Tribolium castaneum: one gene and its partner. The protein of the gene in region 2 interacts with the protein of the main gene of each other region in a biochemical or structural test. Links are inferred from orthologs where the notes say so. Each region holds a gene or a part of one and is shown on either strand. Other genes may lie near its edges.

The links. The genes of interacting proteins can lie anywhere in the genome.
Region 1: the proteins of eIF2beta (region 2) and eIF2alpha form a complex in vitro, tested with the Homo sapiens proteins (2 studies listed by BioGRID and IntAct). The link is inferred for Tribolium castaneum from reciprocal best matches to the Homo sapiens genes EIF2S2 and EIF2S1.

The regions. Positions count from the first base shown.
Region 1 is NC_087396.1:10,999,083-11,003,151, reverse strand, and holds eIF2alpha (eukaryotic translation initiation factor 2 subunit 1), read right to left. Parts: upstream 2,564-4,069; 5' UTR 2,421-2,563; intron 2,306-2,420; 5' UTR 2,300-2,305; coding exon 1,830-2,299; intron 1,775-1,829; coding exon 1,542-1,774; intron 1,491-1,541; coding exon 1,375-1,490; intron 1,323-1,374; coding exon 1,158-1,322; 3' UTR 1,047-1,157; downstream 1-1,046. Other genes in the region: Prosbeta1 (proteasome subunit beta type-6), read left to right, coding at 141-212, 270-337, 389-520, 568-842, 890-1,017; protein DEK, read left to right, coding at 3,053-3,106, 3,347-3,763, 3,812-4,069. UniProt on the Homo sapiens protein: Member of the eIF2 complex that functions in the early steps of protein synthesis by forming a ternary complex with GTP and initiator tRNA. This complex binds to a 40S ribosomal subunit, followed by mRNA binding to form a 43S pre-initiation complex (43S PIC).
Region 2 is NC_087394.1:663,191-668,111, reverse strand, and holds eIF2beta (eukaryotic translation initiation factor 2 subunit 2), read right to left. Parts: upstream 2,937-4,921; 5' UTR 2,769-2,936; coding exon 2,751-2,768; intron 2,675-2,750; coding exon 2,278-2,674; intron 2,214-2,277; coding exon 2,193-2,213; intron 1,011-2,192; coding exon 671-1,010; intron 613-670; coding exon 429-612; 3' UTR 312-428; downstream 1-311.

The DNA of each region.
Region 1 (4,069 bases), on a different chromosome or scaffold from region 2:
GGTGGCGCTTTCGCGAAAAAACGAGGGGTAGACAGAGAGATTCGCTTCTTCCTCTCTCTTATTCTATGGGCGACACTGTTATTGTCAATCAAAAATTCTCTTGTTACCGCTTTTTACTTGTGAATTAATTTTCCCGTAAAATGCCACCTGTAACAAGTGATTACGGCATGAATGCTGAAAGTGACTGGATGAACGCTGCCCACAGCACTGGTGTAAGTTTTTCCCCGAAAAATTCGGTGAGGTTAGGTCCCCATGACTTGTTGTTTTAGACCTCTATTATGGCAGCGGAATTCAATGGGGGCGTAATTATTGGGGCCGATTCTCGAACCACTACGGGGTAACACACTCAATATATCACTATATAAAAAATAACCCCCACTAATTGTAGAGCATACATCGCAAATCGTGTCACAGACAAACTGACTAAAGTAACCGACCATATTTACTGCTGCCGCTCTGGCTCCGCGGCCGATACCCAGGCTATTGCGGACATTGTGGCCTACCATCTAAGTTTTCATGGGTAGAGATAATTTTAGCTAATTTTTTTATAAAAATTTTGGTTTGTAGAATGGAGTTAGGGGAAGAGCCTTTGGTGGAGACAGGGGCTGCGGTTTTTCGCGAGTTGTGTTACAACTATCGTGATTCCCTAATGGCCGGTATTCTGGTTGCGGGTTGGGATAAACGTAAAGGGGGGCAAGTGTACTCAATCCCCATTGGAGGCATGTGTGTGAGACAGCAGGTCTCCATTGGGGGTTCAGGCTCTAGTTACGTGTACGGGTACGTTGACGCCAACTATAAACCGAACATGTCGAAGGAAGAGTGTGTTAAATTCATTACAAACAGTAGGTTATTTTTTCGTGAGAAATTTTTTCTAACTCAGTTTTTACAGCTTTGGCACTCGCAATGTCACGCGATGGTTCTTCGGGTGGTGTGGTTAGATTAGGAATTATTACAGAGGAGGGAATCGAGCGCAGAGTGGTCTTGGGCGACCAACTGCCAAAATTCTTTGAGGGTTAAATTGTATTTTTTTCTTTATAATAAACACATTTTCACCTTTACAATATTTTATTGGCTTAAAATATTGAATTAAACCACAAGCTTCAATATAAAAACTTATAATACACATGGTATTTAATCATAAAACGTTTGAGGTTTGTTTAATCTTCTTCAGGTTCAGATTCATTATCATTCTCATTGTAAACTTGTCCCTCATCTCCGTCTTCTTCATCGTCGTCGTCGCCCGCAACTTCAGTGTTTTCCAATTCGGCTCTTTCCATTTGTCTTTGCAGCTCAGCTTCATCGGTAGCTGTCACAACTTTAGGCTAAAAATTTACGTAAAAAGCAGGTCCTAAACAAGGAAATTAAATCACTTACAGCCATCTGAACGTTAAAAACGCCACCTAATTCAGAAATTGTGGCTTTTATTTTCTCAATTGCATCGTTTAGTATTTTCAGCCCGTCTTGTTTTTCAGGCGTAGAAGTCGTCATTACTAAAATTACACGGATAAATAATTAATTCTAGTTGGAAATGAGTTTTTTACCGTAGAGAGGAGGAGCAATGAGATTGATTTTAATTGGCAATTCATCAGTTGAAAGCGACAAACCGGACTTCAAGGCTGTCTTCACAGCGTCAATTCCTTCATAGCCGTAACATGCACATTCAATATCAGCACGGATTTTGACTGCTTGAGAAGTCAGTTTCCTCTTGATGTTGCTCAACAATACTTCCTTGGTTCTATCATCCAACTGACATTCGGCCAATATACTGGGATCACTGAAAATTACACAACGATTATATTGTAATATTGTTGTTTAATTGTAATAATTACGAGACAGCCTGCTTGAAGAAATCATAAGCACTTGCTTTATTTTTCTTGTACTTTTCCTCAAAGTACCACGCAGTTTTTTGGTACAATTCCTCCAACTGCTCATCTGACTCATATTTGAGCAATTCAGCGACGTGTCTAAGAATCGAATTGACGGCCTTTGCTTTCGCAAATCTTTCAGTGCACTTCTCGACATCCTCAGCACTAACACGCCTTTTTGACAAGTCAATATAACCCTTGTCCTTGTCCACTCTTATTACAACAACGGGTTCCGTTTTACCTACTCTAATTAATTTATTTATGGAACGAATACGTCTTCTCGACAATTCGGAAAGCAAAATCATGCCTTCAATGTTCTTATATTCCAGTAAATGAACGTAAGCCCCCATTTCGGCAATGGCTCGAACGTTCACCATCACCACATCCTCGACTTCAGGGTACTTTTCCCTGTAAAATCTACAGGAGAGAGGCATTTTTACCTGAAAATATGGAAATGAATTTTTAGGTTATATTCACAAAAAGTAGCTTTAACGAAAAGTTAATGAGTTTATGTAAGAATAAATTATCATAAAAAGTTACGGTTGTTATAAATACCTATATTATTATCAAAATATATGAAAAAATGATGAAATTCCGAAATAACTTCACGTGTGACAGCACAGCCACAACCTGCAAGCTTTTCTCTGTATTATTCAACGCATCAAATATGACTATCTTTGTTCAATACAAGTGATTTGTATATCGCTTTCTCTTTTGGCGATGTAACGTGTGCCTAAGACCGAAAAAATTTAAGAGGATTATTTTATATTCAATTAATGCATTATTATTGAAAGATGAAATTTGGATTCGATTCGTTGTCATATTTAAGATCACAACCGCTTCTCTAAAAATAAGTTTGATAAAAAAAATATTTTCCATTTTTCCGGCAAATGAGTCACGTCGGCACTTTAGCCACAGCCAAAATAAATGAAAAAAGTAACTGCTACGATGGCTCGAAAAGTTTCCTAAATGATAGAAATTCGGCCTTGAACAGCCCCTAATTACCTGAAATTGGAAATTCTCTTGATTTCTGTGTTTGAAAAGTGCTAGTAGCGTCGCAGTTTCGAAAAAATTTCAGTAAGACAGGCATTTATTGAACCGTTTTGCACAGTGGCCCCATGCTACATTTGCATTGGTCGATTATGCAATGCGTGTGACTTCTTATTGGACATTTCTAGACGCGGTATATGACAGTTAAGATGTCTAGTGAAGGTGATTCTTCTAAAAATCTCTCTTCAGAGGTAAGTACCCTCAATTATTTATTTTCGAAAAAATAGATCGTGACCTGGGCCTCTACTGATGTTAAATTCGCAATTTTATCGCAACGCTTTCGTTGGAAAACCGCTTAAAAAACAACATGTTAGTGAAAGAAATTTCAACATGGCGTATGTTGATATTTGAAAAAGCGGGAAACCGAAAATTACATCAAAAATAAAGTTGCTGGTGTGGGAAAATAACGAAAAAATTGTATTCTGTTATAGTCTAACGAGAAGAACGAGGCCGAAAATACCGATTCTTCTCAAGACGCAAAAGACGCCAAGCCTGACGCAGCAACTGAAAACAGCGTCGAAAAGAAGGAGGAGGACGCAAAGCCCAAGGAGGCCCCAAATGAGGCTTCAGATGAGGCCGATAAAAAGCCTGAAACCGATAAATCGGCAACAGATAAAGTAGAAAACGCAAAAGGCGACACGAAGCCTTCCGAGAAAAAGGAGGAGAAAACTAAAGCTAAGGAGAAGGATGAGGAGGAAAACAGCGAGCAGGAGGATGAAAAGAGTGAGGACGGTGGTGATGACGAAAAAGACGTGCCATTACTGGACCAACCTTTGGAGAAGTCTGGGAAACGGGAGCGGAAAAATGTACAGCGTTTCAATGAGGAATTTCCATCGGAAACTAAAGAAGTACGTATCTAAAAATGAGTGCTGTTTGTTCTATTTGTTGTATTTAAGGTTGTAAAGGTTGAGATACCCAATGGGTCTGGTACTTCTCTGGGTGCAATACCGCGGATTGACGCGTCAATTTCCCGGTTTAAAAACGAAGATATGAGACTTCTTCACAAGATTTTGTTCAAGTTGCAAGGAAAGGTTACAATGATTAAGAAAAATATCAAAAAGTTCAATGGCTTTGAATTTAAAAAAGGTTCAGAGGAGTATTCTAAAAAGGTGGCATCTATGACTAAGTGTGATGTAAAACAACTGAAAAGCATT
Region 2 (4,921 bases):
CATTAAGCACAATTTAGCCAAAAAAAAACTTAAAATCTAGTCAAAAATAACATTATTTCAGAAAATCTTTTAAACCGTTAACACGAAAAAAGTATAAAATTATGTGTATATGTAGAATGCACGCAGATTACGTAAGCATGCAAAATTTCCATTCATTCCGACAACAGGAACATTCAAATTTGGCCATAACGTTACATTTTTTTAAAACATAAAAACGGGTGTAACTTTGATACAATTTTTTTCGTTGTGTTTTTTGTTAAATTAGGAAATGTTAGACTTAGGAAATTGTAGTTTAGTTCGGTTTGAAATAATTTTTCTTGTGTCACAATCTTGTTTATTCAACAATTGGCTAATTACGTACAAAGTGTACACAACACCTACTTTGAATTAAAAATAAGTATAAATATTGCGCGCCTCTAACCTACCATCTAGGCTGTTTTCGCTCTTATTGCAGCACGTTTTGAGGTAACAGCCTGGAAACCTGACTTGATACTTGCTACTGAACATCTGGAACCACATGTTTCGCATTGTAAAAAGAATAATCGAGTGTCCTTCTGGAGAATTGTATCGGGGGAACGACACGTGTGACACGTGACGTACTCTTTAATATACCTGTAGAAAAAAATAACAGAAAAATTTGTGACGAGGGCCGAAGGCACGAGCAACTAACCTTCTTAAAACATTTTCGATTTGTTTCTGTTGGAAGCGACCTTTGATTATCAATTGACTGTTGCCGTCCACTGAACCGCTTGTACCTAATTCAGCCAATAGAAAATCGAGTAAATGTTTCGGTTGACGATGGAGCATTTTACAGATTTCTGTAAAATTGGCAAATGACGATTTTTTAGTACCAATTCGGACGACTTGTGGTGGTCTCATAACGAATTTTTGTTTTTTGCCAGCGGCCATATCGGGATTTTTATCGCGCATTATTTCAAAGGCACGTTTCAAAAGCTCATCGTAGGTGTAATCACGATCGGAGGTCATCCAAACGGCTGAGTTTTCATCCACTAAATAACAAAAATTTCAGTTAAAAAAATAAATCAACACTCATGTGAATGATGGTATTACTTGTTTTTTTACCTAATTAATATTAATTTAATTACCTAATTGATTTATTGAACGAAATTTTTGGTAATAATAAGTGTTTTTTCAAAAACAAACAAACAAATCTTAGAGACTTTAGTGTTCAAAAAAGCAAGAATATCCGAATTTTTGGCCAAATGCATAATTAGTTTATTGGCAATTCCAAGCAAAATCTTAAAAAAAAAACATTTGTTAACAAAAAAACCTCCATAAACGCCCGAAAAAAATACGTTATTTCCAACTTAAACATGTATTTTTTTTAAATATTTGAAAAAATTTTTGTAAAAAGTGAGTTTAACTCAAATAAAAAATAAAACAAAAAAAATGAACTTTTAACCCAGTAGACAAAAATATTCGACTTATACATTTTTCAATAAAAAACCAAACAGGGGAAAAATATTTAAAAAATCTATTGATCATTTTTGTTTTTTTTTCTCTTAGTTAAATCTTTACCTTTTAATTTTCTTTTAATATATATTTTGAGAAAATATAAAAAACACTAAGAGCAACACTAATACCATCATTTAAGCTCTTTTACAAAAATGCACAATAATTATAAGTCATTTCCGACTAAAATGTGTAATATTTTGAGTTATTTGAACTAAATCTTGCTAAAAGTGAGTTTTTTTTATCTAGTCACCTAAACTAGCTAAAATCAACTACTAGTTGACTCATTCGGAAAAAAACATTCTCGAAATAAAAACTCAAAGGCTTAAAAAATGCAAAAATAACCATAATTGAGAGAAAAAAAAACAATAAATTTTTTTGGGTTGTTAAACGCTCAAGAAATACGAAATTTTTGTTAAATCCGCCCTAACAAAAGCCAAAAATAGTACGTTTTTATTAAATTTTCAGAAAAAAAAAAATATATGAATTTTTACCTATAGACAAACAAACTTATTGTATATAATTATCAATAAATATTTACCAAAAAAAAATTAAAAAACTCTCTTAAGAGTTAAATCTTTTTTTTTAATTTTCTTTTAATAAATTGATATTTCGAAAAGATAAAAAAAGTAAGAGCTACACTAATACCATCATTCTTTTTTACGAAATTGCACAATAATTACAACAGTTGTACGTATTTTTAATGAAAAAAACGTTACCTGATTCCGGAATTCGCTCAACTAAAGTGCAGCATGTTAGACAAACAAGAAAATAATCCCCAAAAAACCTCAAAAAAATAATTACCATTTTCCTTGTCTTCATGCTTCTCATCAGCCTCTGCGATCAGATCCCCCAGATTCTTCTTCTTCTTTTTCTTCTTGGTTTTACTGAAGTCCACTTCCAGGTCGAAGTTATCATCAAGAGCCCCCTCATCCTGATTCCCCCCTTCGTTCCCCTCGTCCTTCCCCTCCCCAGCAACGGCGTCCAAATCCTCGGCCGTGAAGGGCTTCTTCTTCTTCTTTTTCTTCTTGGTGAAGTCCAAATCTATATCAACATTTGCATCATCTTGCTCGTCCTCCTTGGCAGTGTCGGGCTCGGGGGCGGCGTCTTGCGCGTCGTTCCCGCCCTCGGCCAACGCCGCCTCGATATCGAACGCGGTCTTCTTCTTCTTTTTTTTCTTTTTGAGCGAAGGATCGAAAATCTGGAAATTTATTTACGATAAAATCGTGCACATAACCTTACTTTTGGCCCTGACAGATTGGGCCTGTTTTACTCACGGCGTCGTCCTCTGCCATGATTTTCACACTTTTGGGGCGCTTTTCACTAAACAGGAAACTTGGCTTCGGTGGGGAAAACGGCTAAAACTGCGAATTTTCCGGAAAAATCACTTAAAATCGCTGAGGAATTATTGCATCAGCCAACTCGAATAACCACACGTGAAAAGTGGCAAGGCGGTGCCAACACGAAAAAAATTAATTCACCAGATTGGAATTCAAAAAGTTAGTTTTTTTTGTGAATTTCTTAACAAGATCTTAGTTTTTATCGTTATTTTACATGATATTTGCGCTTTTTGTTAAAAAACGCTCAAAATCATGTTATTTTCAACGTATTTACAAATTTTGTTTTAGTTTTAATTTAATTTTGTTGAAATTTAAACGATATTTCGCGAAAAAAACATTCGTAAAAACACTAATAAAGGACAACAGTAATATAATTGTTTATTAGATAGAGTGTTTTTTCGTCTATCTTAGCGAAATGTTGCAAAAGACTGTTTTAAAAATTATTAAAATCAAAATAATAAAGGTAAGTTTTTCGCCTTATTTTTGACGAAATTTTGCTCCAAAATGATCTAAATTGAGTGGAACAAGTTAAAATAACATCAATTTAGATGATTTTTTAAAGATTTTTAAAGAAGATTCTATTTTTCGAAATATCGAAAAAAGCATGTAATTTTAGTTTAATCTGTTCTAATTTGTGATTCTCTTCGTTTAATAAAAATCTCACAAAAAAAACCTTTTTTTGGATTAAAAAACATACCTAAAGGCTTTGTTTTTGACCAAAAATCGAACTAAATAATATTATTTTTACCTTTTCTTTGAGAAAGCTTTTAAGGAATTTTTTCAAAAAATTCTTTAGTTCGAAATTCAAAAAATTCAAAACAATGATTAATAATTTTAGAAAAAGATAATCTATGACGTGACTTTTTCGGTCTTTGCCTAGATTTTAGGTTTTTTCTGTTTATTTTTGATTAAATTTTGCTTATTTTCAATCAAATTTTTAAAAAATATCAGTATACAATGTAAAAATACGGTCAAATACTCGAAATAAAGACTAAAATAATGTAATTTTTGATGTAGTTAGTGATTTTTCGGTTTGTTTAAAAAAAATAAAACTTTTGTTCAATAACATTTTCTAATGGTCTGAAAGATATTTTAGACTAAATTTTGAGTTTTTCGGTTTATTTTTGATTTAATTTTGCTTAAAAACTAGCTAAATCGGGTGAAATAAGTTAAGATGTTAAAAAATACCTAGAAATTTTAGTCTATGGACGTATTACCGAATTGAGAAATGTCAAATAATATTACTTTTGGCTAGATTTTAAATTATTTTGGTTTATTTTTGATTACATTTTGCTTATTTTCGATCAAATTTGATAATTTTTTTAACTAGTTTCAAAGAATTTCTTTTTTAAATTTAGTTTTTACCGCAAAAATACCGTCAAATACTCGTTAAAAAAATACTTGTTAAAAAAAACAAAAATTCCAGTTCAAAAACGTGTCTAATGCTTTGAACGATGTATTTACTGAATTTTGACTTTTTCGGCTTCAATTTCGTTTTAGTTTTTAATAGTTTTTCAAGCGGTTTCTAGAAAATCTACTAAAAAAATCTTAATTGTTACCTTAAATGGAAAAAAAGGGATAAGCTTTTACTTATTTTTAGCGATAATTCTTGCAATGAAAACAATAAAATAAACAAAATAATGAAATTTCTAGCTTAACTGGTGATTTTTTTATTGTAGATTATTTACATTAGCAGCACGTGTACTTATTTTGCCAAAAATAGAATAAACTTTTATCTATTTGATAAAAAAGTTGCATTTATTGTTTCCATAAATCACTTTTATCCCAATAATCAAAATGATTTAATGGATTTCTGTTCATAATTAATAGAAAAGATCAAATCTAATTTAGATAAACCCCAAAATGAATAATTGATAAGTTTGAGAGTAGTTTATCTAATCAAAACCCCTCAATATATTCACAGTCAACAACGATAAAAAACTGTTTAATCTCACACAACACATTGCCAAAAATGACCAGCGATAGCACAGATTTCATCAAAATCTTCAAGTAAGTCGAGCAATTTAAAATTTTAAAACGTAATTTAAAATAATCACAGCTCTTCCCCCAAAAAAGAAATCGAAAAAGCGGCCGAAAATGTACTTTTG